Linked DNA regions of Sus scrofa. The protein of the gene in region 4 interacts with the protein of the main gene of each other region in a pairwise test. Links are inferred from orthologs where the notes say so. Each region holds a gene or a part of one and is shown on either strand. Other genes may lie near its edges. The genes, in order: ZC2HC1C, PIH1D3, GAPDH, KAT5, ODC1, PLA2G4A and ZBTB8A.

Region 1 (4,024 bases), on a different chromosome or scaffold from region 4:
CCATGTGCTGCGTATGCAGCCCTAAAAAGACAAAACAAAACAAAACAAAAGAGAGAGAGAGACTTCATGGAAAGACAAAAGATTCTTCTTCCTCAGAAACAGGAGCGAAAGAAGTTAAAATGGAGGGAGGCACCCTGGGAAATTCTGCCAGACTGGAGGGGAGCTTAGGGAGTTGATGACAGACAAGCCCCATGCTGAGATAATTAGGGCCTTGAGAAGAGTGGGAAATGTCTGGAAATGCATACATAGAGAAGGCAGTGGAGAGTCAATTAGAAAAGAAAACAAGGCATAAAAGTACTGCCCTTGGAGTGCCACCAAGGAATTTCTTCGTAACATGTAAAAACTGTAATATGACATATTAAAGTATTAACACCGACCACTGCTGTCCGTATTGTTCTCCATGGGCATGAATCTTTTAAGCAGTTACAGGGAAAAAAGTAAGCTGCTTGTTCCAAGTAGCTTACACAAATGAATTGAAGCATAAAGACAAACAAACCTTCTTCTGATGTTAACAAGTTACAGAGCATCTTTAGTGTTGAAACCAGGTTATATTGAGTATTTTGGATCTGGTAGTTAACTTTATTATCATTACACTTGGTTGAGTCACTCTTTGGCCGCAAGAAGAGAGGATCAGAGTTACCACGTGAGAGTAAAACATTATATCCAAATAATTAGATTGGCTACGAAAACGTCCCCGGAAAGATACTGCAAAAGACACCGCGTAGCAAAACCTAGCCGATTTGCTAAAATTTGACGCAAGCTCCAAACTATTTGCAAGGAAAGCCATGGACAGTATACAGCCGTACCTGGGGCCCGTACAAAGCAGCCGAGCGTGCTAAGAAAAGCTATCAGTATGCCCACGGCGGCTAAGAGGGCGGACACCGGAATCCTGCGGCAGGTCTTGAGGACACATCTAAGGCGCTCCATCTTTTGCCAGAGAAGGACACACCCCAGGACCTGAAAGCATCGCTCTGAGAAAAAAAAAAAAATACAAGCCCTTTGATGGAGCCCCAGAAAAGCCTCTCCCACCCTCTTCTCCCGTTCCCTAAGGGCAGGGCTGGACGGAGCTGCAGAGTTGGTGGGACACCGGGTCAAATGACACTCGTGTTGACCGCGCCCGCGACCGGGCGACTCCCGGGTGTGCGGACTGCGGCTGCGCACGCTTCTCCGGTGGAATTCGGGGCGTGGCGGGACTGGGTGCGCATGCGCTTCGGTCTCCAGGCAACAGGAATAACAGAGGCCCGCCAACAGCGCCTGCACGGCGGCGGGCGGTTGGGAGGGTGGTGTGTGGTCTGGAAAACTAAATTCTGGGGTTTCCCCTGAGCAGGAGCCGTCTGCTAGAACAGGTACGCGGAAGGGCGGGAAGATATGGGGTCAGCACCTCGACCTCCCAAGGGCCCGAGAGACTGAAGAGCGAGCACTTGTCCCTAAAGCAGAGTTTCCAGTGGGGCTACCCGGCTGACCCTCCAGGACAGAACAGGACTTATGCGTTCCGGATATGAACCCCGCCAGATCAGGTGTTCTCCGCCTCTCAGGTTACCGACCTTCCGCCATCTGCGCTGCGAGGACACCTTGCGAGAGGGTTTGCCAGCCAGGCACTTGCTGCAGGCCTTGAGCCGGCTCTCTGCACTTTGGGGTCCAGCACGGTTCCAGCAGGCGGGAAGTCCTGAGAGCAGTTTGTGCCAGTTGCTTACCAACAGGCTGAAGTTTTCTACCTGTAAAATGGTGGAGCGGGACTTGGAGTCCTAAGGTCCCTAAGTTCCAGCCATCTAACTCTTAAGTGAACCCCTCAGTTTACTGGTGAAGAAACTGGAGCCGGCGAGGGGATGCTGCTTGTCCTGACTGAAAACTGACTTTCAGCCCAATAGCTCATTCCGCCTGCTACGGAGTATACTGTGTAAGCAGGAGCATCACTATGTATGATATATATAAAGGAAAGCTAGGTGGCAGGAACACCTGTATCACATTCCCTTTTTCTATCCTTAGGACCTAATAAGCACCCATAGGACATAATAAGCGCTTATCAAATGCTAGACCTAGCAGCACTGTCCCTAAAAAGTCTAAGGGAAACTGTGGGTAAGACAAGTGTAGAAATAGTTTACTTTCACAGCTGAGATGAACCTCAGACAAACTCCTCACATATGTCTGGTTTAAATCTCCCCTAGGCTTCTGTCCAAGCCCTGAATGGCTGGCCTCCAGTTGGCACTGACTCTGCCTGTGGGCATTATGTTCCCATATAATAAAAGGGAAGCTCCAGAGCTCCATTCAGTTAAGCAAGATCCCTATGAAAAAGGTGACTCTTCCCAGCGGTCTTCTATGGGGCACCTGAGGAATAATTTCCAGCAGGAGCTTTTGAGCAACAAAGAGCTGACACTAGATAAGCTCTACACTCACCCCAAATGGAACACCAGCATGAAAGCCTGGAGCTGCTCCTATCCCCACTGTGCTGAAATAAGCCAGCAAGATTCGAGAAAAGGTTTGTTTTACTCATCAGGCCCTCAATCCCAGTATCCCAAAGCAAATATCCAGGAATTCATCCCCTTTACAAAGAAGCGAGTTGGGGTGGACCGAGCATACCCACTGAAACCTGTGTTTCACCGGAAGTCCCGTAGTACAGGTGAGGCTGGCACTGATGGGGACCAGAATGTCTCTCTAAGATCCCATCAGCCAAGAAAGCTCTCATACAGCAGTTTTGGTTCAAGGAACTGGGTGAATTCATCTGTGGTTGGTTCCGTTGCTGCCACTCAGGAGGAGAGGGTTGTGGCAAACCCCAGCAGGATGGAATGGATGCAGATCCAAAGACTAGAAGCTGCAGGGGAGAGTTTAGAGGAGGAAATCCGAAGAAAAGAGACTCTCCTGAGGGAAAAGCTGAAGAAGACAGAGGAGGAACTCAGAAGGATCCAGAAGAAGAAAGAACAGGCTGAAGAAAATGAAAAAAGAGAGCTACAGAGGAGAATGGCACTACCCAGGAGGAGAGTTAAAGGCAAGAGTAACACCTCACACAAACCTATCTTCTCCCCAGAATTCAAGTCTGCGGAGGTCTTCAGTAGAGATGTAGGAGACGATGAAACTTGGGGACGGTCTCAAGAAAATTCTAGTCCATTCCAGTTCTCTGATCATGGAATTCAGAAGCTCAAAAGGGAAGGACTGATGGCAAGCAATAACCAAATCCGAGACCGAGTCTCAGGGCCGCTGAAGGAGAAGTTTTCTCAGGCTTCAGAAATGCCACCCAGTGCTTTGCAGAGATCTACCTGCCATTCTAGCTTGTCTAGGGCCCCAGACTCCTTGGGTTCCAGCTGTTCCACTGAAGAGCCAGAACTGGGTGCGTGCAGCCACTGTGGACGGAAATTTCTCTTGCTCAGACTTGAGAGACACTCCAATGTCTGCAGCAGGATGCGGGGTTCCAAGAGGAAAGTCTTTGACTCCTCCAGGGCCCGGGCTAAGGGCACAGAACTAGAGCAGTACTTGAACTGGAAGGGATCGGCCTCAGTCAAGGTAACAAGGGCCTTTAATGATTTGCCTTTGAATGGGGGTGTGAGCCTGTTATATCCTCATCTGTTTTCTTTAGAAAAATGTCATGTGTCATGCGTCATGTGGGGAGAAAGCGAGAATTAACATTTATTGATTACTACTGTGTGCCAGTCACTGTGATATTGTCACCACAACCCTGGGAAGATTTCAGTATCTCTTTATCAGTTTCAAAATTTAGTCTCAGGTTAACTTGTCTGAGTTCACAAATAGCTTTTAATGGCAGAGTCAGCATGTAAATCTGGGTCAGAATGACTCCAAAATGTAGAATTAAAAAATATGTCCTTTTGATTATAAAAGTAGTAAACATTTTAGAAAATTTAAGACATGAAAAATATAAAGAAAAAAATTATGCAGTGTTTCAGCACTCCCAGAGAATTCCTCACACTTTGCAATATACCCTGCCACCTCCCAAGATTAGGACCTGTTACCACTCCTAGAACTATACTTTTTCAATTAACTTTGATGAAACTTCTTAGTAAATATATGAGGTACC
Region 2 (4,111 bases), on a different chromosome or scaffold from region 4:
ATTTCCCCCCAAAGCCACAATTTTAGCCAATAACTTAAATATTCAACCTTAATTTTTTGTTGACTACGGTAATAACAAGTAGAATGGACAAATTCCTCAAGCTCTACTAGCCCCTTCACCATAAAGCAGAAAGAAGGAACGCAATTTAGTTAATTCATAACCGAATTCCAAGCCCTGGGGCCAAAATTAACCATCCACTAAAACCATCCTATCTCTCCTTGCTTACTGCACAAATAATATTTGAAGGGACCCACTATTGAACACAGCTAATCAGTTCCAAATACTCCAAATACTCGTTAAGCCATCTCTTCTTTTTCCCTTTTGTTTAAAACCAAACCACGGAATTCCTGAGAAACTAGGGTCACAACTGTACCTCTAGAAGTGCAAGCACTCCGATTGTCAAGCAGTGGCAAACCTGCGGCGCGCTTGCATCGCTCCACTCCTAGGCGGGAAAAGCCAGGCACCGGGTCCGGCGACATTCCCGAGAGTGGGAGCGACGCGTACCACCGGACGCTACCTCGCAGGAGCTTCGTGGCAAGCCGAAGGGATTCTCCCTCTGGGGCTCCGAACCCAGAAGTCTTGCCCACAGCAGAGGGGGAAAAAGCGCGATTCCACCATACACACGCACACACAATTCACACGCACAAACGCTAAGCCGAGACCGAACCCACTACACGTGTCTCTGTCACCGCGCGGAAAGGGGGCGTGGGGAGGGCGTGTGGTGCCGCAGCAAAATCTCCTCAACCCCCAGGGCCACCAAGCCTACCCTTCCACCCCCGCTGCTCCGGATCGGCGACAGGAGTTGTCCGATCTGGAATTCACGTGCAGGAAAAAAAAGTAACGATGAGGGAGCCGGCTGATGCCCGGACAATCGAAAATCCCGCAAACTTACCTTGGCGGCGGCGCCCCAAGGTAAATCGATAGGTAGCCGCCGAGACTGCGGAGAGGCCAGAGAGGCAGACCAGGGCCTTCTCCGGCGAGAACGAACTGGCCTCCACAGTGGACGCGTCCCCGCAGGAGCGACGCTAACTGAGACAGAGGCTTAAAGGGGGCCGACCTAGTTAACTGGTAAGGGCGGCTTGGACCCCGACTGGCACGCTCTCTGATTCGTTAATTCTCCTGCAATTTCAAAGGAGACTCTTCTACGATTGGTCAGGAAAGTCAAGCGGGAACGCGGAGGTGGGGGTGGGGGAGTTCAGAAACAAAGTTGTTACCCAGGCAACAGGGGGACGCAGAGCTCTCCGTTTATTTTCCAAGCCTACACAGCGACCCAAAAACTGACCCAGGTGAGGAAACCCGAATCTTAGGAGGGTGAAAAGAAGGGCCCCTCAGATGCCGCGGCTACTAGAGAAACTAGGGAGAACTCTAGATACTTAACGGCTCTGAGAAATACCCACAAAAAGCCGCAAGTTTCAGACAGAACAGAGCCGTTCCCTAAATCCCCCTGCCCTAGACGCTAAAAGCAAGATTCAATTTTAATAAAACTCAGGCTATTCAGGATATGAGTGAAAGATGGGGCCGTTTTACCAGACAAGGAAGGGATGCGGATGGAATGTCAGAAGGCCAAAATGAACATGCTAAGGCTTCTTTAGACACAGACACTGCTCGTAACGCTAATTTGAGAATGAAAACTGTTTCCTTGTAAGTGTATCTGGGGGCTCCGAGTTGGTTTTACATGTACACCGACCAGCATGCCTTGGTTGGGATACATATTTTTAGGGAGTATAACGCTGTTCAGACTGAAAAAAAACTGGCTTGTGGTACGTGGACAATGTCTTGTGTTCGAGAAACGTGAACGTTGCGACCTGAGAGTTCCAACGGACGTTGGTCAGGTCCGTTGAGGAGTGAAAAAGTCAGGCTGCACTTAGTGGGCTGGAGCGTGGTGTGCAAGGGCTACTTGTATCTACCAAACCCGCTACTCAGCAAGTAGCTGATTGGGAGAGTAAGTATTATATGCCGTTGGACTGTACCTGTCAAAAGGTAAGGAACTGTGACCAAAAAAAAAAGTGGGGGGCGGGGTGAGGGGAGAGAACAGAGTTTGAGCACTGAGGTGAGGGTCCTTTCCCCTAAGAGCTTCTGGAAAGGATTCAGAACAGAGGCTATTTTGTAAAGAAATAAAAACAAGCCTATGGACTTGGGGAGGAAAATTCAAAGCACTGGAGAAAATGTGCTTTTTCAATTCCTTTGTAGATAGAGGTGGATTATGGGAATGAGACAAACAAGCAAACAAAAATTACAAGTGTATGAAGTTTGGCTAAAATAAAGAATAATGGATTGAGGAAATATTAAATCAAAAGAGGCTCATTTCTTGACCTTTAGGTTTATGAAATATTCCAGGTACTTTCAAAAATCATCTTCCATTAAATATACTTTAAATTTGTAACAGAAACTCTAAGTCCCCATGGTTATTTATGACTTAGTAGATTTGCTGGCAGTGAAATTTAGAGACCCTAAAAAAGGAATTATTTGGGGTTTTGTAAAAACAAAGTCAAAATGAATTAGGTTTAATAGGCAGGGAATCATTGATGGGCAGAGTTGTCAAAAATGTAAAAAAAAAAAAAAAAAACCCAATTAACCAGTATATTATCATTTAACTCAGAAATAGGCAGAGATGATGTTTACTTTTGTGTTTCCAAAAGAATTTTAATACAGGAATTGTTAAATAAGACATTATGTAAATAAAATTGCAGAAGAAATGCCAATTTTATTTAGGACAGTAAATGGATTTTTGGTACTTTGAAATCATTCAGCTATAAACAGTCAGTAGTCTACATAGGGACATGTGTTTTCCTATTAAACAAGTTCCCCAAATGAAACTCTTTGGTGATTCTTTACTACCCTGATTTTATTTGCTATATAAACTTGAATCAATAAAATATCATCTATACCCCCCCATCTTTAAGGGATTAAAAAAACCCTATAAGGCAATGGGGGGGGGCTCTTCTCCCCCTCCCAGCTGTCCTGGGAGCTGCTTGCTTTCCTATAATAAAGACTTCGCTTGCTTGCAAAATAAATAAATTAATAAATAAAATATCATTTCTTTTTGAATAGTGTATAATTCAGAGTTTTCACTCATTTAAGCTAGACTTCTCTCCAATTAGTTCAAGTCTAAGAGCATTCTGTTGACACTGTGGATGGAGGCAAAAATAAACAGAAAGCATGACCCCTGTCCTCTCAACCAGAGTCTGACTTAATCTCAGTTTATTGATACTATTGCTTCAGTGCCATGGGTCTGGAGCCATCCTGGTTGAGCTTGTTTAGTCCCTAAAAGTCTCCAATGTTTTGGCAAAGGACTGGTTCTGAAGCGGCTGCCTTTTTAGGGCATTGTGGCTAGTATCAAGAGAAATTCCCCCAATCACACCTCTACCTATGAAGGCCCTAGGGGCTCAGGACGGTGTGGGAAAATCAAAGGCACTGTCTAGAAAATGCTGCCTTTGGAATGGGCCTAGCAAAAGAGAGTGAGAGAAAAAGAAAGGGAGGTGCTAGAGAACTTATTTTCTAAGTAACCAAATCCCAAATAAAAGATTTAGCAATATATTTTTTAATGAAATTCTCACTTAAATTTGCTTTAAATTTATTCTTGCCCTATTTAAATTGCAATGTCAGATGCAAAACAGCAGTGTGGCTCCAGAATCTTATCTTTCTTTCTTTCTTTTTTTCTTTTTAGGGCTGCACCTGCCACATATAGAAGTTCCTAGGCTAGGGGTGGAAGAAGAGCTGCAGCTCCAGGCCTATGTCACAGCCACAGCAACACAGATCAGAACCACATCTGTGACCTACACTGCAGCTTGTTACAGCTTGCAGCAACGCTGGATCCTTAACCCACTGAGTGAGGCCAGGGATGGAACCAACATCCTCAAGGATACCAGTCGGGTTCTTAATCTGCTGAGCCGCAATGGGAACTCCCTAGAATCTTTTTTTTTTTTAATCACTACGCTATGTTACCTGGATAGTCTAAGCAAAAGGAAGAATATATTCCAAAGTAAAAAGGCAGGAGATTATAGGGTCTGTTTAATTAGCAGTTCAGTTTTTAACGGACTGCTGTTTACATGTAGGAGAATAATAGGAAAGAAGGGCAGAAAATTGGGATTATATCCTCAAGGGCCTTTAT
Region 3 (4,250 bases), on a different chromosome or scaffold from region 4:
GTGAGCCTGCAGCAGAGGAGCAGTCAGACACCCGGGCTTCCCCTTTCCTGGTCCAAGTCAGCCTCCCCCAGTCTCCCCGCTACACCAACCCCGCGGTTAGGTCCCCTCCTCTTTCGGTTCCCTGCCGCTCACCCCGGCCTTCTCCATGGTCGTGAAGACACCAGTGGACTCCACAACATACGTAGCACCAGCATCACCCCATTTGATGTTGGCGGGATCTCGCCTAGAAGGGAAGACAGGACAAAGTTCAGGGGCGCGGGGGACCACAGACCCAAGGTGGTCACCCCGTCCCAGCACCACCTCCTCCAAGGCAAAGCTCTTCCGGTTCCGTCTTCCATACTTACTCCTGGAAGATGGTGATGGCCTTTCCATTGATGACAAGCTTCCCGTTCTCCGCCTTGACTGTGCCGTGGAACTTGCCGTGGGTGGAATCATACTGGAACATGTAGACCTGGGGGGGACGAGGGAGGGCATCAAGGGGCTGCGCCCTGGCAGGCTCTGTCCCCGCCCCCGCCACGGGGGCCACTCACCATGTAGTGGAGGTCAATGAAGGGGTCATTGATGGCGACAATGTCCACTTTGCCAGAGTTAAAAGCAGCCCTGGTGACCAGGCGCCCGATGCGGCCAAATCTGAGGGGGACAAGAGGCGAGGAGGGAGGAGTGAGCTCTCCTGGAGATGTAAGCAGTCCCAGGCCCACGCGCCCGCTGTCAGCGCGGGCACTTTCCTACCAGGAGATCTCATTTCCTCCTCCTCGCACAACCCTGCCAGACCAGCCTGGCTTCCCAGCACAGCCACAAAGTGAAAAGCTCCCATCCTGCCCAAGAGGTGATGAAGCTCCGAGACAGGCCCACACCCCCTGGTCATCTGAAATCTGTTAAGGGGTGACAGGGTGGTGCACTGCTGCTGCCACCTACAGTCTGGGCACATGGCCGGCACATGGCATTCCTCAGGCCCACTGTCGGTAAATGCTTGTTCCTATCTGGCCAGCTTCAGGCCACACCCTCTAGGGAGCAAAATCTTGCACACTTGGCATCACCCAGCTCAAAGGGCAAGAGCAAAGGTCAGAAGTTAACTGGCCAGGGAAACCCCCCCCCTTCCCCAAGTCCCTCCTACAAAAGGGAAAGCCGTTTCTCAAACCCAGAATCCCGGGCTTCTGATTTGTTAGGAACCTGTCTTTGTTAGCTCTTTTCCCAAAATCAGGAGTGGGAGCAATAGACGTGTGGGGAGCGGGGGGGAAGGAGAGGGAGAAGCCCAGGCCCCCAGCTGCAGAAAGGTCAGGCAGCTATATTTAACCCCAGCTTAGGGTGGAGTGGGGATCTGGTTTCTGGAAGAGGGGATGGGGAGAAGGGCAGGATTCCCGAGGCTCACGGACATCTAATCCTCCTGGTGACCTTTACAGCTTGGCCTTTAGGGTGGGGTCAACCCTAGGCATGGATGGAAGGAAGCAGCTTCAAGGAGCACTGATGCAGAGACAGGGGCTGCGGCTCCGCCGGCTCCGGGAGCCATTTTGTGGAAAATTTCTAAGTACCCATGACTCAGCTCCCCCGGCATGGCACCAAGCCAACGCTACCACACCTCTCCGGAGAAAGAGAAGGGAAACAACCCGGAAACAACCCAAGACCACCCCCATAAAGCCCCGTTTTTGATTCATCAGAGAACCATCCAGAAAAAGCATCCCCTCATCCCCGGGGGGGGGAATCTGGCTGGGGCTTGAAGGGATGCTCTAGGGTTAGTTTGCTAAGAGCTGAGGTCCAGCTGACTAAGAAGGGGAAAGCGTGGCCGGACCTGGGTTACCGGATAAAGGAGACTCCACCCCACGAGGCAGGGGTAGAAGGCTTAGTCATGGGCAAGTAAGGAGAAAGATTGAAGGACTCAGGAAGATTTCCTAACGGCGGTTCATTCATTTCCTTCCTAGTTGCAACATGGCGGCTAGGTTACCGCAGATGCCCCCTCCCAGCTGGTTCTGCACAGCAGCTGTGCCTCCTGCATCCCGGGGCTGCCCGGCTGGGGGCACTGGTTGCGGCTGGGGGGATGGGCTCCTCCCCTTCACGTGACCCCGCAGGGCGCGAAAGGAAAGAAAGAGCCCCAGCTGGGGGATTAGGGGATGGGGCCAAAGCAAGAATTGGAGACTCCAGGGCTGTGTATCTGCGGCAGGTGAAGAGGAAGGCTCCGCAGAGGCGGAGTTACAGAACGCGCAACAGCCAGGGATGGGGGACACGAGGCCTTGCGAGGGCCTCCTCCAGGTCCGAGCGCTGACCTTGAGTTCTCCTTGGGGGTGGGGTACGACCACCCCATCCAAGTCCCCCACATGCTTGCACAGACCCGGTAGGGCGAGACCTGCGGACGCAATTTGGTGGGGGCTGCAGTACTTACTGCCCCACCCTGCCCCACCCCCTAACTCACCCGTTCACTCCGACCTTCACCATCGTGTCTCAGGGACGCGGCTGCCGGCAGAGGAAAGAGAACATTAGATCGCGGGGCAAAGCGGCTGGAGCCCGACGGTGCCCTCCCCGCCCCTCCCCCAGGCCTCCATCCTCGCTCTGCTCTTCTGCACGTCCTTCCTCCCCCTCAACCCGCAATGCAGGGGCCCGGCCCGGCGCAGCCACAACTCCGGCTCCAGCCGGGGCCCCGCACCCACACTCCCAGACCGCGCACGGCCCCCGGTCCCTTTCGGACCAGTCCTCGAACCCTTGTGGCTCCACTCCGCCAGGCTTTACCTGGCAATGCACGGAACACACGGCTGTCTGTCGAACGGGGAGGAGCAGAGAGCGCAGGGGAAGGCTGCAGCCGGAATTTATAGGGCAGGGGGCGGGGCGGGGGCGGGGTGACGTGGGCTCGCCTCGCCCAGTCCTAGCTCCAGCAGCGGAGGCCTGAGCTACGTGCGCCCGTAAAGTCGCGAGTAGCCGACCCCCACTTCTTCTTTTTTTTTCCTTTGGACCCGCCTGGTTCTGCCAATGTGCACGCGCCACACAAGTGGGCTGAGGACGGAGAGGGGGAGGGGACCGGTGATGCTGCCTGGCCCGGTTGGGGTTGTACTGCAGGGGGCAGTGGACTAGGAGGAGGGGGCCCTGGCGAAAACTGAGGACACCCAAGGAGCCAGGGACGTTAAAGTTGCTGCAGGGATGTAACGGGAGGATATGGGGAGCCAGTGGGATGGGAAATTGGAGCGGAACCCGGGGTTGGGGGCGCGGCTCGCAGCTCGCGGCTGCAGTCTCCCCTACCCCCCCCCCTTCAAAAGCTGAGAAGCGGGAAGATTGAGGAACTTCTCGAGGCTCTTCGGTAGTGACCCAGGAACTACAGAGGAAAAGGCCCGGGAGGGGCCTCCAGCAAGGCCCTCTCCAGCCCCCTTCCCCTTTCCCCCCTCCCCTTCTCTTGGCTCCTGGCCTCCCCGGGCTGGGGACCGCGGCTGGCCCTGGCCAGTGGGAGGCCTGGAGAGGAAGGAGGCTCGGAAGGAGGCCTGAGAGGGAAGTTTCTGCACTGAAGGTCACGATGCCCTGCAGGACAGGCAGCCTGGACATCTGAGAATCGAGCAGACAAACCAGGACCTGTGTGCACCAGCTGCTCTCCCCCAGGCCCTGGCTGGCTGGGGCCTCAGCGAGGGGACAGGATCGCTTTGGGGGGCTGGCCAGGTAGAGGCTCAGAGGTCTCCCACAAAGTTGCTCCTGGGAAATTTGAGGGCTGAGCGGCCCGGGCTGGGAGACAATGTCCCTTTCACCCCATCCAGCCCTGGGCAGAGCAGGACGTGAGAGCGGAAGTCCCTCCCCATCCTGGGACGTGCAGGCCAGCCCTGCAGTCAGGGCCTCCCTTTCACTGGCTGCGCCCAGGGGATGTTGGGGGCAGGGTGAGGTGTCCATAAGAGGGAAAAGATTGGGAGGTCTTGGACACAGGGTGGGGACAAGGGCCCCTAGCCCCTTCCCAGACGTGATGTGGAGGAGGAAATCCATTCTTCTCCAAGACCAGTCCCTCAGAAGCTGGGGCTGGGCCAGGTTTGTGAGCAGAGGATGAAAGATGGGTTGGTTCTGAGGACTTGAAGTGTTGAAGGTTCAGGGAAGGTGGGGGGAGGGTGGAATGGACGTTGCCCATTAGCAGGTGCTGGTGGAAGGAATTGGGGCCTCTTTGCTGGCCCAGCGTAACCTGAGACCAGCCCCCTTTTCCAGCTGAAAAGCCTGTGGCTAAGTTTAGCCCGCAGGATGATAACCTTTGCTTAAAAGGCAGAGAGCACGCTGCCCCGCACCCCGACTCAAGCCTG
Region 4 (2,695 bases):
CCCCATCATGGCATCTTTCTACCAATAAATTTCTCAAAGAGACCAGGACTGGGATCAAGCCAAGCCTCCAAATGACTATACAGCTTGGGCTTCCCTCCCATCTCCCAGGTCAGAGGCTGGTGATCCCAGGGTTCAGACAATGGTGAGCTGAGTGGAATGAGGCTAAGAGACGACTCGTACGATGAGGGGCAGAGGCCAGATCCCCGTGAGTCAGTGCTCACAGCTGCCTGCTAAGCTCACAGCCCTTTTACAGGACACCTGCTGCCCCGCGAGGCTCAAGACAAGTGGGGAAATGCACCACAGGAACTTGGGTGACCGCGCAGGACCGGAGAGTTGAGCAAGAAGAGCGGCTCACTCGGCTTCTGCCCTGGCCCTGGGCAGGAGCACATGAGTAAGATCTGGGGAAAGTGCTTAGAACCTTGGCCGAAGAACCGGGAGGGGCTAAGAACCTGGTCCAGGCAAGCAGGGCAGTCACCCTGGGACGGAGAGAACCTTGGGAGAGTCCCATCTTTTATTTCTGGCCAGTTCCCCTGGTGACTGGGCTGCCCAGCCGGGGCTGAGGCCCAGCACTGGACATCTGTCTAAGACACGGACGGGGCCTGGGCCTGCCGGATCCCACCCCCACCCAGCGCCCCAGCAGCACGGGTACTCACTGAACTCGATCAGCAGCTTGCCGTAGCCCCGGCGCTGGTAGGGAGGCAGGGTCAGGATGCAGGCCACGTTGTAGTCTTCCGTGGATTCCTTTTCCTGGAAAGGGGGCAGGGTGTGAAGGGAGGGACCCAGCTGAGGGCAGGACGGAGGCACAGCCCTGGGGAGCACTCACCTTGGAGAAGTAACCCACAATGTGGAAGCCCTTGCAGTCATACTCCGTCATGACGTAGAAGAGGAAGGGGTCCGTGTCATAGTACAGCGTCTTGTGGTCGAGGAAACACTTGGCCAGAAGACACAGGTTCTGAGAGTAACTCTGCAAAGGGGAAGGTCTGTCACCACCTTGGTCCTCCGCCTTGAGCATGGCTGTCCCCCAGGCTGACAGAGGATGAGCCTTCCTGGACCCCGACCCAGTCCACGGGTCAGGCCGTCCCTGTGCCCAGGCTTCCTCAGTGTCGAGGAGTCTGCGTACCGGCTCCGTGATGACGTCCAAGCTCCGCCTCCCTGGTGAGCTGGGTGCACTCCCCCTGCTCCCCACGCCTCGGTGTGACTCTGGCTTTGGAGGCGACCAGCGCCCTCTGCCACAGTTAACGGCGGTCAGCACACTTGTGCGTCGCAGTAAAGACCGACCAGGGCTTACAAGAGGAACTCTTGCTTGTGTGACAGTCTTAGGACTCTGGCTGTCAAAAAACACCACACTGCTCTCTCACCTACAGTTACACCTCCTGAGAACTGAACAGCTCTTCTACAAGAGGAGCAAGAAATTCCGGAATTTAACAAAATAACAGCCTTAGATGTTCCCTTGTGCAGCAGGTTAAGGAAGTGGAGTTGCCCCAGCTGTGATGCAAGTCGCCGCTGTAGCTGGGGTTCAATCCCTGGACTAGGAACTTTCACATGCCAACAACAACAAAAACAAAACCAGCCTTAAAGGCCACCCCAGCAAAATAATTATTCTCGTAACTTTACTTCTCACAACCTTCCTGCATTTCGGATGTGGTTTTTTGTCTTTTTAGGGCTACACCCATGGCATAATGGAAGTTCCCAGGCTAGGATTTCAATCAGAGTGCCAGCTGTTGGCCTATGCCACAGCCACAGCCACACCAGATCCAAGCCACTTACCCCACAGCTCATAGCAACGGGGCCAGGGATTGAACCCACATCCTCATGGATACTAGTTAGGCTGTTACTCCTAGCCACCACTCCTCAAATACAGCTTTTTAAGCACTGGCTGGGCAGGGCCACCTGAATACTCAAACCCACACTTCATACACTTAACTGTGTTTAAAGCAGCATCTTCCTCCCAAGCTCCCGTAGCACCCAAGTGAGCGCTCCCCTCTGCCAGTCAGGGTGACTGCCTCTCCCTCCCCACTCGTGAGGCCCCGGAACGGAGGCATTTCACTCCAGAAGGTCCCGCCAGGTTACTCCCTTCATCCTCCCCACAGCCAGACGAAGGCAGGTTAGACGCCCCAAACCTGCGGTGTCCCCCACTTCCTCCCCACCCTCACCTCATCCTGTCTGCCCTTCAGCTGGAAGGAAGGACCCTCACCTTCCACACTGTCTCTGCATAGGTGGACCCCATTTATTGCATTTCAAAGATAATGCACCTTTTTTTTTTTTTTTTTTTTTACGAGTTAGAGTTTATGCTAACCCTGGATTGAGCAAGTCTATCAGCGCTATTTTTCCACCAGCATTTGCTCATTTCATGTCTCTCTATCACATTTCAGTAATTCTCGGAATGTTCCAAACTCTCGTTGTCCGTTATAGGGATGTGTGAACAGTGACTCTCACTGTCATCACTGTCATTATTTTCTTAGACACTCCTGTATCCCTTTGTGTGTATGTGTGTGTGTGTCTTTTTGCCTTTTCTAGGGCTGCTTCCTGTGGCATATGGAAGTTCTCAGGCTAGGGGTCTAATCAGAGCCGTAGCCGCCGGCCTACACCAGAGCCACAGCAAGGCGGGATCCGAGCCGCGTCTGCGACCTATAACACAGCTCACAGCAACGCCGGATCCTTAACCCACTGTGCAAGGGCAGGGACCGAACCCACA
Region 5 (3,953 bases), on a different chromosome or scaffold from region 4:
GTTACTAAAGCTGTTCATGGCTTCTTGATATCTTTCTGAAACACAACAAACTGCACAGGGCAGACAAACTTACTTGGAAGTCCTAGCACGACTTAGTAATTCTTAGCAAGATAAACCATGAACACTTACACGGAAAACAAAAGATGGAATTTAAATTATGCCAGCTCTTCACAAAGGTAATTCTCCAGGAATCCCTGTCCCGCTGAAGACTCGGGTGCCCTTGGTGCAGCAGTGGGAATGTCCTGCTGAGCAGAATCTGAACACAGCAAATTGGAATATAGTCAGGTACGTGTACACACACACACACACACTCAAGCACCCTCCAGAGAGAGCTCACTTGCTGAGGTTGGGAATCCCACCATTCCTATTGGTGTCCTCCCATGATTTCATAAACCTCTACGGAATGAGACACCACAGGATCAGCACTAGACTTCTGGACACTCAAGTTCCATATATAGTAGTCTCCCTCAAAAAAGGTATTTCAAATATTCCTGCTAAAAATGCAGAATGCACGTTTCAGAAACGTTTCTGTACTGAAGTTCACTGGTAGGGAAACTTCTATGATGCTTAGTTTACCTCACTTCAGTGTTATTCTTCTTTTAGAAGCTTAAAATAGCATTACAGGGATTCTCGAAAGTTGCTGTATAAACATCTTGCACATTCCCAAGTCCTACATAGGCATCATCACTGTCATTTGCTGACGGCTCTTGCGGTCTCCTGAGAATTGTGCTCATTGTCATGCCAGGCATGTATTTTTTTAAATTGCAATCTTCAAATCAACATTACTGTAATATAGTTACCACATCTGACCAGAAATCAGTATTCTTAAACCAGCGCTGCCTACCCCATCAGCCATTCTGGCAATCTCAACTGCCCTTCCAGGTGCTCTAACATTTGCTTGGCTATTAATGATTACCACCTGGGAATGATTTTTGACAAACTTTACAGAAAAATAAAAGCAAGGTAATGAATTAGGAATAAGCAAAAATAAAGCGCGTTTAACAGTCAGGGCTGCTGTCCTCGGCCTTCATGAAATTTCACAGCAGTTATCTTAAAATTATTGATGGTACCCCATTTCTGCCAGGGAGGACTCCTTTGACACTGTGCAACCCGCTTCAGTGCCTGCAGCCTATGGGCAGAGGCCAGGCAATGGTTCGGGGCCACAGTTTGCTCTGGCATGGGACACTATGAGAGGCCCAGGGGTACGGGCCTGCCATAAATCCAAACCCATGCTTGGCAGAACGTGTATTCTTAATCTAATGTGACTTTCGGGCACTGTCAAACCGCCTATGCTGCCGGTAAACTCCTGTGTCTCTCAGAACAGCACGTAAGTAGGCTCCAAGGTGGCAGACTGGGTTATTTAGGGTTAACTATTTTTAAGGCAATATTGAGGCTTAAACTTAGAAGCTTTTGTTTCTTTCAAATACAGCACTATTACACATTGGGCTTTCCTGTATCTTTCAAAGCTTTATTTCAGTTACTTTCAATACAGAGGAACTTCACCCAAGAACACCCTTTGGTGTTCCTATCTGTTACTTAACAGTGACTCAGTGAACACAAGACAGCGCTTTTCTACTATGAAATTCTTTACTGCCAATGGGCTAAAAGGAAGCCGAGCACTAATTCGATCAGCCACTGAAGTTATCCAAATTATGGCCAATTTTAGGTCTGAATAAAGTCAACACCTCCGTCTTCCCCAGACGTTTCTAAGAGGTTCTGCGCCCCACACTTGCCCCCATCATTTCAGATTTTCCATAAGCCTTTTTTGAAAACCCTGGGACCGGCTCCTATGTCTGAGCCTGCTCGCCTGAACTGCGATCTCCACAATCGAGGACTTTCTTAAATCACCAAGTCATTCAAAGATTCCTTAAGCAATTCTACGCCATGGCAGGATCAGTATTATCAGTTAGATTATCTCAGCTCCAGCGACTCGAGTGGGTTTTTACATTGCGACATTTGCTCAGGATACGGAGCAAAACCAAAAGTTAAAAAAAGAAAAAAAGAGAATTCAGGGCAACCTGGCAGAACGGGACGTCTCTTCCTTATAAAAGTGAGCACGAGCGATGAGTGAAACGGACCTGCGCCGGCTCGCCTCCTACCTCTCCTGCACCTGTTACCGGATTACCACGTGGGTTTAAAAAAAAAAAAAATAGCGGTTGAAGGAACGACCGAGCTTTCTCAACAGCTTCCGGCTCAGAAATCCTGACTTACGTGGTTGGGAGGCGAACCCGGGGCCGCCGGTTCCAGCCCCCGGCAGCCCTAAGCCGGGACGGCGGCCGCCGAGCGCGCAGGGGGCCGGGGGTCGGCGCCCCGCTTCACCCGGGACGCCAGGGCCGGGGGCGCAGCGGCCCACTAAGGTCGGGGCCCGGCGGCCGGCTGGCGACCACGTTGTCCCCGCAGCTCCAGGCGCAGGGTCTGCCCGGCCTCCGGCCCGGCCCGGGCGCCGGGACACGTGGCCGTCCCTCCCCACCCCCTCCCCGCCGCCGCCGGGTGCGCCCCTCTCACCTTAGAGCGCACGGGCGCCGCGGGCCGACCCCATGGAGACGCGACGCCGCCGCCGAGCGCGCAGGACCGCCGGCCGCCCCGCCGCTGTCCCCGCCGCCCCCGTCAGCCGCCCGCCCGGCCGCCCGCCGCCTCGCTCCCTCCCGCGGAGGACCGCCGGCCCGAGGTGGCGCCGGAGCGCTGGCAGAGGGGCAGCGGCGGCGGAGGCTGAGGGGACTGACAAAGCCCGACGCGCCGCCGCTCCGCTACTTATAGCGCCGCGCGTGTCGTCATGGAGACGCACCAGCTCAAACCAGCCGCGATCGGTTCCGTCCGGGCGTCCTCCCAGGGAGGGGGCGGGGCGCAGGGGCGGGGGGCGCCGGCCGGCCGACGTCAGCGCCGCCGAGCGCCGCCCGCCCCGCCCACCCCTCGGGGCCCTGCGGCAGGCCGGCGCACGCGCACACGCTCCGGGCCGGGCTCCACCGGCGCGCCCTCCGGCGCGGGCGCCCCGCCCTCCGCCCGCGGCCGGGAGGTGCCGCCTCCGAACTGCAGGCTCGGCTCCTGACCGCCGCGGAGTTTCAGGCTCTGCGCCGCGCAGCTCTCTTCTTCCGCCGGGCATTAAACGCCTCTTGCCCTTGGGCGGGGAAAGGAGATCGCGGGCGCGAGCGGGCCACGTGGACCCCACCTGGCGGACTCTGGCCCCTTCTGCCCGGCGTCTCCATTCCTACGGGAGGGACCTGCAGGTGGTTCCGGCGCAATTCCACCCGACAAAGAAACGACAAAGAAACAGGCAGAACCGCAGAGGGCAGAAAGGTCACTGGGCACGTTAGTGGCACCGCTGCGGGCAGCTCCCCAGTCCTGGCGCCTGTGAATGGAGTCCATCCAGGTGTCCATCTAGGTAGCAAACAGCGATGAACAGGCGAAGGCACATGTTCGGCTTATTAAGCCGAAGACTCCTCTAAAGAATTAGGAGAAGGGGTACGAAGTAACAGGTCTGCCAGCCAGCAGGTGATCACAGCCCCGTACTGTATTGGATGGCGCTGATCAATGACTTGGGTCCGCTGGGCTTGGCACCACTTGGAGAGTTATGTAAGTCCCAACATACCCGCAGTGTCTACACCAGGGATGCACACGGCAAAAGCTGTATAAGGAATTGAGAGTCCCCAAGAGTGTAGCCAAGGCTCTGGTGGAGCTCTGGCCTCTCCCTGGGGCAGGCCACCCCAGTACCAGCCCGAGAGAGGGACTTGGGGCACTTCTTTTTTCCCTTGCATTTTTGCCATTCCTTCCCTTGTTGACAAAATCCAACAACAGACAGTTATGCCCCAACCTAGGGTGTGACGGACCTGAGGGCTGCGGGTGGGGACTAAGAACTAGTCCCAGCCACACAGTCGATGCAGGGGGCCCTGGAGGAGCTTGCTGCTGGAGCCCTGGCCCCAATTTATTGTGTGATCTTGGGTAAATTGCCTCTCTTC
Region 6 (4,089 bases), on a different chromosome or scaffold from region 4:
TAGGTCACAAATGTGGCTCAGGTCGTGCATTGCTCTGGCTGTGGTGTAGGCCAGCAGCTGTAGCTTCTATCGACCTCTCGCCTGGGAACTTCCACATGCTGCGGGTGTGGCCTTAAAAATCAAAAATAAAATAAAATGAAATAAAGGAATAATTTGTATGAGGGTAAACAAGAAGATAACTTTATTTCTAAAGTGAGTCCTGGAGTTCCCTAGTGGCCTAGTAGTTAAGGATACAGCATTGTCACTGCTGTGGCTTGGCAGGATCCCTGGCCCAAGAAGTTTCCCATGCCAGAGGCATGGCTAAAAAAATTTTTTTCTTAATTTTTGTAAATAAAGTGAGGGCCAAGCCCAGACATTCCTCTCATAGGCCTCTTGAGCAATAAGTGGATGGTTATTTGAAAAATCAAGATGGCTAGACCATAACGTTTTTGGTAAAGTATATACACTTTATCAAAGATACATTTTGGCAGTTAGACTTTAAAATGTAATTATTTTATTTTATTATTATTTTTTGTCTTTTTCTAGGGCTGCGCCTGCAGCACATGGAGGTTCCCAGGCTAGGGATCGAATTGGAGCTGTACCTGCTGGCCTATGCCACAGCCACAGCAACACCAGATCCAAGCAAGCTACGTCTGCGACCTACACCACAGCTCAGGGCAATGCTGGATCCTTAACCCACCGAGCGAGGCCAGGGATCCAACCTGCGTCCTCATGGATACTAGTCAGATTCATTTCCGCTGAGCCATGATGGGAACTCCTAAAGTGTAATTATTTTAAAATACAGTATCTTTGTTGGAATTAAAGTCACTCTCTAGTGCCACTTTGCACAGTTTACAATAAAAATAAACATATTTGTCTTGTGCACAGGAACAAATAATACCTCTTTTTTTTTCCTTGAAAATTTCAGCGAGATCACATCTGATTGATAGCCCACCAACTTACAATATGCACTATGGCTATAAAAGCTGGGAAGCCTTTTCTAACCTCTCCTATTATACCAGAGCTCTTCCTCCTGTGCCTGATGACTGCCCAACACCCATGGGTGTGAAAGGTGAGTGAGAGGAAGCAGGTAGAGATGTATTGAGTGTAACTGGGATTGGATGCAACCTAGAAAATTTGACTGTAAACTGTCATTTATTTATTAAGAAAAACATCTATTTTTCCTTTCTTATGGATATCTTTGGAGAGTTCTTTGTGAATCTCTGTAAACTACTCCATGAAAGTGAATGGGCATTTTGGTATAATGTCATGATGTTTTCAAATTCTTTCATCCAAACTGAATTAATGCTAGTTAAACAAAAGAGATTAAAGTATTCAATAAGAAGTTGTTCCCCTGTATCTTAGAACTTCCATTGATATTATGATCCTATTCACAACCGTATTCTTCTTAAGTAAAGAAGATCCTGGCAGATTGACAGCCACTCTCTGCTTCTTTGAATATAGAGATGGATTCCTATCTTGGCCTTCTCATTTTTCAGGGAGGAAAGAGCTTCCCGATTCAAAGGAAGTTGTGGAAAAATTACTTCTAAGAAGAAAGTTCATCCCTGATCCCCAGGGCACAAACATGATGTTTGCATTCTTTGCCCAGCACTTCACCCATCAGTTTTTCAAGACAGATCAGAAGCGAGGACCAGCTTTCACCAAAGGACAGGGCCATGGGGTAAGACAGAGTTAAATCAGAATTTTAGTCAATCATAATGAAGTGTGAACATTAAAGGCCATTATTTATTTATTATTTATTTATATTTGCCAATATATACTTATAGATATACTTATATATTTTATATATATACTTATATATTTGCCATACCAGATAATTCACCTTCTTTTTGAAATGTTCTATCTATAAAAATCTTAATGGAGTTTCCATTTTAATTCACTGGTTTAGTGAAAATATATATGCACACATGTATACATATTTACACACATATGTACAAATATAAAAACTATTTGTAGTTTGGCCCGTATATTTTTAGTTTAAAATATTGGCACTACAGAAGCTGTCTTCAAAAACATTTGCACCCTGATTATGCTGCCTTAAATATTATTAGGTTAGGTTTTTTTCTTTAGTATTACTATCCTTTGGATTTCAGTGACATAGCTTCAATGTATCATAAGAATTTTATATCAATAATATATTTTCTATGCTTTTAAAAAGAAATACTACATAATTACAGCAAAGCATATGATCTAATCTCCACATGAAACACTGATATCTTAAAACACAAGAGACATATAGGTTTGTAGCTTCAGTGGGTAAACAAGTTAATTCATTATTTTGTGGCTGTGAAAAAAATGTTATTGAAAATTTTTAAAGCAAATTAAATCATCAAATTATTTATAAATACCTCACAGGCATTTTACATAAGAACAGCTTTAACAGCAACAAATTTAAAATTTTTCATAATCTTCTAGGTGGACTTAAGTCATGTTTATGGTGAATCTTTGGAGAGACAGCATAAACTGCGCCTTTTCAAGGATGGAAAAATGAAGTATCAGGTTTGTTCCACTAAACTATTAAGAATTAGATATCGGGGGAGGTTTAAATTGGTAATTTGGGTTTAAGAGATACACACTAATATATATAAAAGAGGTAAACAAGGATCTGGTATATAGCACAGGGAACTATATTCAATATCTTATAATAACCTAGAATGGAAAAGAATCTGAAAAAAGGTATACACACACATATATAAATAAATATGAAAAAAGTGATGACTTACCACTTAACTATATTCAGCATCATTAACGATTGGAATTTGTTTCTTACCTCTTTTTCATTTTTTGCCGTTGTTTTTAGATAATTGATGGTGAGATGTATCCTCCGACAGCCAAAGACACTCAAGTCGAGATGATCTACCCGCCTCACACTCCTGAACACCTCCGCTTTGCCGTGGGGCATGAGGTCTTTGGTCTGGTGCCTGGTCTGATGATGTACGCCACAATCTGGCTGCGGGAACATAATAGAGTGTGCGATGTGCTTAAACAGGAGCACCCGGAATGGGACGATGAACGGCTGTTCCAGACGAGCAGGCTGATACTGATAGGTGCGCAAGAACAACTCTTCTCAATAACGCTCTTCTCCAGGGAAAACGAAACTGTTTCTTTGCAGTTTCCAGAAATACTGGGGGTATGTGGTGCATGTAAAATCACATGCTTCATAGTAATTCAACCCCTGGGCTTGATTAGGAATATCACCGACCTTTTGTTTTGATGGTAAAAAAGGAAGACACAGAAATCAATAGAATATGGCAAATTAACAAAATTGCATTTGGGTTGCTTGAAAGTTTGTGAGTAGAAAGAATTTGTGTTCTAAATTTGTTAATGTTGTGCCCATAGGAGAAACGATTAAGATTGTGATCGAAGACTATGTACAACACCTGAGTGGCTACCACTTCAAACTGAAGTTTGACCCAGAGCTGCTTTTCAACCAGCAATTCCAATACCAAAACCGTATTGCTGCTGAGTTTAACACGCTCTACCACTGGCATCCCCTTCTGCCTGACGCCTTCCAGATTGATGGCCACGAGTACAACTATCAACAGTTTCTCTACAATAACTCTATCTTACTGGAACATGGCATCACCCAATTTGTTGAATCATTTAGCAGGCAAATTGCTGGCAGGGTAAGCATTATTATTATAAAACGAAACAAAGGGCTTAGTCAGTAACTGGAATTTCTGCTGTAGAAATGATTTTTCGTAAACGTATTAAAACAGTAATTATTTGCTAGTAGAATTCTTCCCTTAAAATGAGAAGTCTAATATATAATTTCGGTTATAGTAAATGTTATCACTATAATCTAGATGACAGAAATATTCTTGAACAGTTTAGGTCTCAGCTGGGAGCTGAGTCTTACCTTCTTTGTACCCAAGGGATGCTTTTAAAATAGAAATCTTAAATATACCTAAAACTCATGTTCTACAATTTCATTTCATTTCCACAGGTTGCTGGTGGTAGGAATCTTCCAGCTGCAGTACAAAAAGTATCAAAGGCCTCAATCGACCAGAGCAGAGAGATGAGATACCAGTCTTTTAATGAATACCGCAAGCGCTTTCTGCTGAAGCCCTATCGATCATTTGAAGAACT
Region 7 (4,111 bases), on a different chromosome or scaffold from region 4:
TTTCCTGGGCTCAAATCACTATCAACAGCAAAGCTGGTAATTTCAAGGCCCTGAGAAAAGGTCTAGCAGAGTGCCTTCTTTACCGGGTCGGAAATTTACATGATGTGGAAAAGGTCAAGACGATGCCTCCTACTAACATTTTAGAGCCATGTCCGTTTAGCCAAGACCGGCAGGTTGGATCCTCACTTCCCATTAACATCTTGTGTGGTCAGGGGGCTCCTGGGAATAAAGACATCTGATCTCTGGTTATAGCAAAGGGCTCTTGCTCCAGGGGCCTCACAAACCCAGCCATACCCAGGGCTTGGGGAAGGTTACAGAAAGGAAGATTGAGCTGGGGTTCTTCTGCTGAGGATTTTAGATTTGCTTCTGATACAAATCAGTTAACGTTTTCAGAGCAGGGAAGCAATATGAGTTGCTTACTGGAAAGCTCTGGAGGTGACTTTAGGAGGAAATGAAGAGCTAGAGCAGGAGGCAAGGGCATTGGAAGGCTGCCACCTCTCACCTCCTGGCTTAAAGCTTAAATGCTTAATGTGTTTCCTCATCTAGAAAGTGAAATAATCCTCAGCCTGACTGGGTAGTTGTTTTATGTGATATAATTCATATAGGCGAAAGCACTCCATTTACTAAAGTTCTGCAAATAAAAACATTTATCAAGAATAGAAGTAAAACTGATGTGTGGAGTTTAAAAGCCCAATAGGTGAGAATCTGCGGCTTCCAAACACTCATTGGACTAAAACTAACACAATGTTACTTGTCTACCATATCTCAATTTAAAAGGAAAAAAAGGGGAGAAAAAAAAAAACAAAAAAACCACGCCTTTTAAAGATGTGGAGACTGGCTGGCTACTGGCACAATCAACAATAAATAAGCGCATGCGATGGAGAAGGGGCCAAACCACTAATTAACTTACAAGAGAGGCCGTCTGCATAGGTAGAAGGTGCGTACGTGTGGGTTCGGCATAAAATAATAATTATAGCTCAATATTTGTTAGGTATAGTAAGTCTGCCTTGGCTTCTCAGCCCGGATCTGTCACATCACCATATAAAACCAAAGGATGGAGGATGTACGCAGAAACTCGGACTACTGCCCAGCCAGCCACCTACCCGAGGAAGCGCCCGGAGCTGCAGGAGAGAAGCCCCGGACCTTGGCCACCCCACCCGGCGGGCCACCCATCACCCGCCGCGCAGCCCGAGCCCGGCTGGCTGCCGACCCTCCGGGAGTCCGCGCCGCCCGACGGCTCCAGACACGCCCGGCACGGTCCCCGCGCCGCCTTCCCGCCGCCGCCGCCAGGAGGCTCCGCGCGCCTTCCCGCCTTTCCCCGCGCCGCGGCCGGGCCAGGCCGGGCGGCCAGGCGGGCGCGGCGCTGGGCGGGCGCGGGCGGCGACGGCGCTGCCATTGTCCCGCAACCCCTCCCGGGCGCGCAGGCGGGCCGGGCCGGGCGGTTGGATGGGCGCCGGAGAGGCGGCCGCGCAGTCCGGGGACCGGTGCGCCCCGCCGCCGCCCGCCTCTCCCCCGCTGGCCGCCGCCCGGAGGCCGGGTCCTGGGCGCCGGCTGCCCGCGCCTCCTTTGTGACCGTCTCCAGCCCCTCGGAGCCGGCGCGCCACCGCCGCTGTGCCCGGGGCTGCAAATGGCGCCCGCTCGCCTCTGCGCCTCCCGCCGCTCTCTGGACCGGGAACGTCTGGGGGCGCCGCGCCGGGGCCGCATCCCGCTGTCGCCGCCGCCGCTGCCGCCCGGGGACCAGAGCCCGCGGCGCCTTCGCCCGCAGCTAGGCTCGTGGGCCCGTCCCGGGCAGCCCCGACGCCCCGCCCGCCCTTCGCCCGCGTCGCGCGCAGCCACTTACCGCGGGCCGCGGCGCACCGGCGGGGCGCGCGCGCGGGCTGGGGGAAGATTCCCGGTTCCCGGCAGGGGAAATACCCCCTTTTGAAGCCGTTCCTTTGCGCCCTAAAACAAGTAGCCCCAACGTGAGAGAAACAAAAGGTATTTGCTGACGTGGGCGTTGGACAGAAACGCCCGAGGGCTGGGGACACAATTAAAGGGGCAACGCACAGATTTCAGGCACCAACCAGCAGCTTCGCCCACTCCCCCTGCCCTTGCCTACACCCTGCTGCACCCTCCGGAGGCAATGGAGTGCCCAGATCCCCTAGCACTTGACTACAGAATCATTATTTAGTAAGGAGCTTAAATTTTAAATTGTACTTTACGTTGGGAAAGGCGCCTCCGGGAGGGCAGAAGGGCTGGATTTCTAGGATCTGGGGAATTTGGTTTAGGAAAGAGGGAGGGACTTAGGCGTGCCCACAATTACTGTATAAGTGCATGTGACATTATTGTACTTAAGTTTAGCAACGTCAAATGGAAGAGATCTGCACAGAATTTTTCCCTTTTTGAAGAACTCGTTTTAGTCAAGGGTAATCTTTTCTAAACCTCTGCAAGTCACAAGAATTTTCTTTGAAGAGGATAACCCAAGAAGCTGAGATAAGAAAAAATAATCCTTGGTCAAGTTCAGAGAAAATATAAAACTAGTAAGAATAGGAGGTTTTGTGTTGTCAAATACTAACATTGATGATACATCCCTAATGTTTAGAGTACACACGTCAGGTTCTATATCTGCTAACATCATAAATCACTGAATATTCATAGTTAGCAGGCAAACATTAATTCTACAAACTACGTTTTCCAGTTCCTTCTGCTGGGGTCAGGCATTGAATAATACTGTGATATAGCAAAACCGAAAAAAAGACTCAAAATTTTAAAACATTTAGTTTTTGTTGGATTTCTCTCTTTTGTCACACTCAGTCATACTGAACAGAATTTATTACTGTGGTTTCATCAATAGTTAGCTATGTGATTTGAGGATCATAGTCTCTACTAGAAGGATACAAAATATTCACAACTATCTCTTAATGTCACTTCTGTATTACTTGAGTTATTTTGCTATTTAGTTGCACCTTCTCACATTCTGAACAGGTAATTGAAAACATGTTTGAAAACCTGCTAGGTATCAGGAGATTTGGATGTACCCAAACTATTCTGCTAGCATCCCCATTGAGAATTCTCCCCCAAAGACCTGGGCATTGTTATCACAAAGGGTTTTATTTTAGCCTTAATTAATTAAAACATGCAAAAAAGTTCTACAAACTTGTTCCTCAAGAGAGCACATCCTTTGTTGCAAGGAAAAAGTAATGGAAGTTTTTTCCCTCAACTTCCCCCTCCTAGCTTCTGAAACTCAATTTATATGTTTGGCGAACTTCTTATGTTATGAATAATTGGTGGGAGATAGAATCTGCCTTCTGCAGCAGAATCTGGAAATGCCAGTGACTTGCTTTCCCAGAATCCCTTGTGGCTAAGGCAATGGTCATGGGCTACACTTTAATAATCAGAGGCACTTACTGGGGACTTTGATGAGGGAGCTATACCACCAAGAAGCAGGAACCTCTAAGAATCTTTTCTGGCAGTGGTGACTGTTGCAGCAAGATAGTGTCTCCAGGTGCCATAGAGGCAGTGCTGTTAGTGGCAGTATCCGCTGTCCAGCACTAGGGTTATCTGTGGTGCCAGCTGCCAGGTCTCTGCTGAGAGCAGTGTTGGTATCCTTACCAGGCCAGTTCTATGGTATGACTTGCTGTTGTTTCTACCTGGTTAGCATAGGCACCAAACCCTATGCTTTGCTCTTCCCATAATTCTGTAAACTTTTAATACATTCATTTCTGTTTAAATCAGCCAAGGCAAATGAGTCTGTGTCACTAAGAACCCTAGATAGTACAAAATGTTAAAAGGCATTTGGACATATGGCCTGGAACATAATAGATAAAATTATTTGAGGTAAAGTGTTGTCATCAATGTAGCTAGGAATTAAAACCATGGATATAGATAGAGAAAGAGAATATAAAATAAGAAAAGAATAAAGCATAGAACAAGCATCACCAGCTTCATCATCTAGTGGCTTCCTAGAGGAAAGTAAAATTGCAAGAATCTAAGAAGTGACTGGGATAGAAGGAAGAGATGTGGGATAGTGCGGTGTTATGGAAACTAGGAGGGGGGGAGTTTCCATTGTGGCTCAGCAGAAACAAACCCAACTAGTATCCATGAGGATGCAGGTTCGATCCCTGGCCTCGCT

The links.
Region 1: the proteins of KAT5 (region 4) and ZC2HC1C interact in binary tests that used the Homo sapiens proteins (3 or more experiments, as listed by UniProt). The link is inferred for Sus scrofa from reciprocal best matches to the Homo sapiens genes KAT5 and ZC2HC1C.
Region 2: the proteins of KAT5 (region 4) and PIH1D3 interact in binary tests that used the Homo sapiens proteins (3 or more experiments, as listed by UniProt). The two-hybrid records come from large-scale screens. The link is inferred for Sus scrofa from reciprocal best matches to the Homo sapiens genes KAT5 and DNAAF6.
Region 3: the proteins of KAT5 (region 4) and GAPDH interact in binary tests that used the Homo sapiens proteins (3 or more experiments, as listed by UniProt). The link is inferred for Sus scrofa from reciprocal best matches to the Homo sapiens genes KAT5 and GAPDH.
Region 5: the proteins of KAT5 (region 4) and ODC1 interact in binary tests that used the Homo sapiens proteins (3 or more experiments, as listed by UniProt). The two-hybrid records come from large-scale screens. The link is inferred for Sus scrofa from reciprocal best matches to the Homo sapiens genes KAT5 and ODC1.
Region 6: the proteins of KAT5 (region 4) and PLA2G4A interact in a two-hybrid assay, tested with the Homo sapiens proteins (2 studies listed by BioGRID). The link is inferred for Sus scrofa from reciprocal best matches to the Homo sapiens genes KAT5 and PLA2G4A.
Region 7: the proteins of KAT5 (region 4) and ZBTB8A interact in binary tests that used the Homo sapiens proteins (3 or more experiments, as listed by UniProt). The link is inferred for Sus scrofa from reciprocal best matches to the Homo sapiens genes KAT5 and ZBTB8A.

What each region holds. Positions count from the first base shown.
Region 1 is NC_010449.5:98,264,028-98,268,051, forward strand, and holds the start of ZC2HC1C (zinc finger C2HC domain-containing protein 1C), read left to right. Parts: upstream 1-1,224; 5' UTR 1,225-2,184; coding exon 2,185-3,495; intron 3,496-4,024. Other genes in the region: ACYP1 (acylphosphatase-1), read right to left, coding at 807-927.
Region 2 is NC_010461.5:87,657,148-87,661,258, forward strand, and holds the start of PIH1D3 (protein PIH1D3), read left to right. Parts: upstream 1-1,311; 5' UTR 1,312-1,953; coding exon 1,954-1,980; intron 1,981-4,111. UniProt on the Homo sapiens protein: Plays a role in cytoplasmic pre-assembly of axonemal dynein.
Region 3 is NC_010447.5:64,131,221-64,135,470, forward strand, and holds the start of GAPDH (glyceraldehyde-3-phosphate dehydrogenase), read right to left. Parts: upstream 2,801-4,250; 5' UTR 2,719-2,800; intron 2,446-2,718; 5' UTR 2,428-2,445; coding exon 2,405-2,427; exon of another isoform or gene 2,312-2,404; coding exon of another isoform or gene 2,259-2,311; exon of another isoform or gene 631-2,258; coding exon 531-630; intron 452-530; coding exon 345-451; intron 224-344; coding exon 133-223; exon of another isoform or gene 7-132; coding exon 1-6. UniProt on the Homo sapiens protein: Has both glyceraldehyde-3-phosphate dehydrogenase and nitrosylase activities, thereby playing a role in glycolysis and nuclear functions, respectively.
Region 4 is NC_010444.4:6,566,525-6,569,219, forward strand, and holds part of KAT5 (histone acetyltransferase KAT5), read right to left. Parts: intron 965-2,695; coding exon 824-964; intron 748-823; coding exon 654-747; intron 1-653. UniProt on the Homo sapiens protein: Catalytic subunit of the NuA4 histone acetyltransferase complex, a multiprotein complex involved in transcriptional activation of select genes principally by acetylation of nucleosomal histones H2A and H4.
Region 5 is NC_010445.4:126,085,860-126,089,812, reverse strand, and holds the start of ODC1 (ornithine decarboxylase), read right to left. Parts: upstream 2,801-3,953; 5' UTR 2,506-2,800; intron 257-2,505; 5' UTR 130-256; intron 51-129; 5' UTR 19-50; coding exon 1-18. UniProt on the Homo sapiens protein: Catalyzes the first and rate-limiting step of polyamine biosynthesis that converts ornithine into putrescine, which is the precursor for the polyamines, spermidine and spermine.
Region 6 is NC_010451.4:127,852,400-127,856,488, reverse strand, and holds the start of PLA2G4A (cytosolic phospholipase A2), read right to left. Parts: upstream 2,801-4,089; 5' UTR 2,771-2,800; intron 2,500-2,770; coding exon of another isoform or gene 2,416-2,499; intron 1,661-2,415; coding exon of another isoform or gene 1,479-1,660; intron 1,052-1,478; coding exon of another isoform or gene 908-1,051; intron 1-907. UniProt on the Homo sapiens protein: Has primarily calcium-dependent phospholipase and lysophospholipase activities, with a major role in membrane lipid remodeling and biosynthesis of lipid mediators of the inflammatory response.
Region 7 is NC_010448.4:88,920,935-88,925,045, reverse strand, and holds the start of ZBTB8A (zinc finger and BTB domain-containing protein 8A), read right to left. Parts: upstream 2,801-4,111; 5' UTR 1,841-2,800; intron 1-1,840. UniProt on the Homo sapiens protein: May be involved in transcriptional regulation.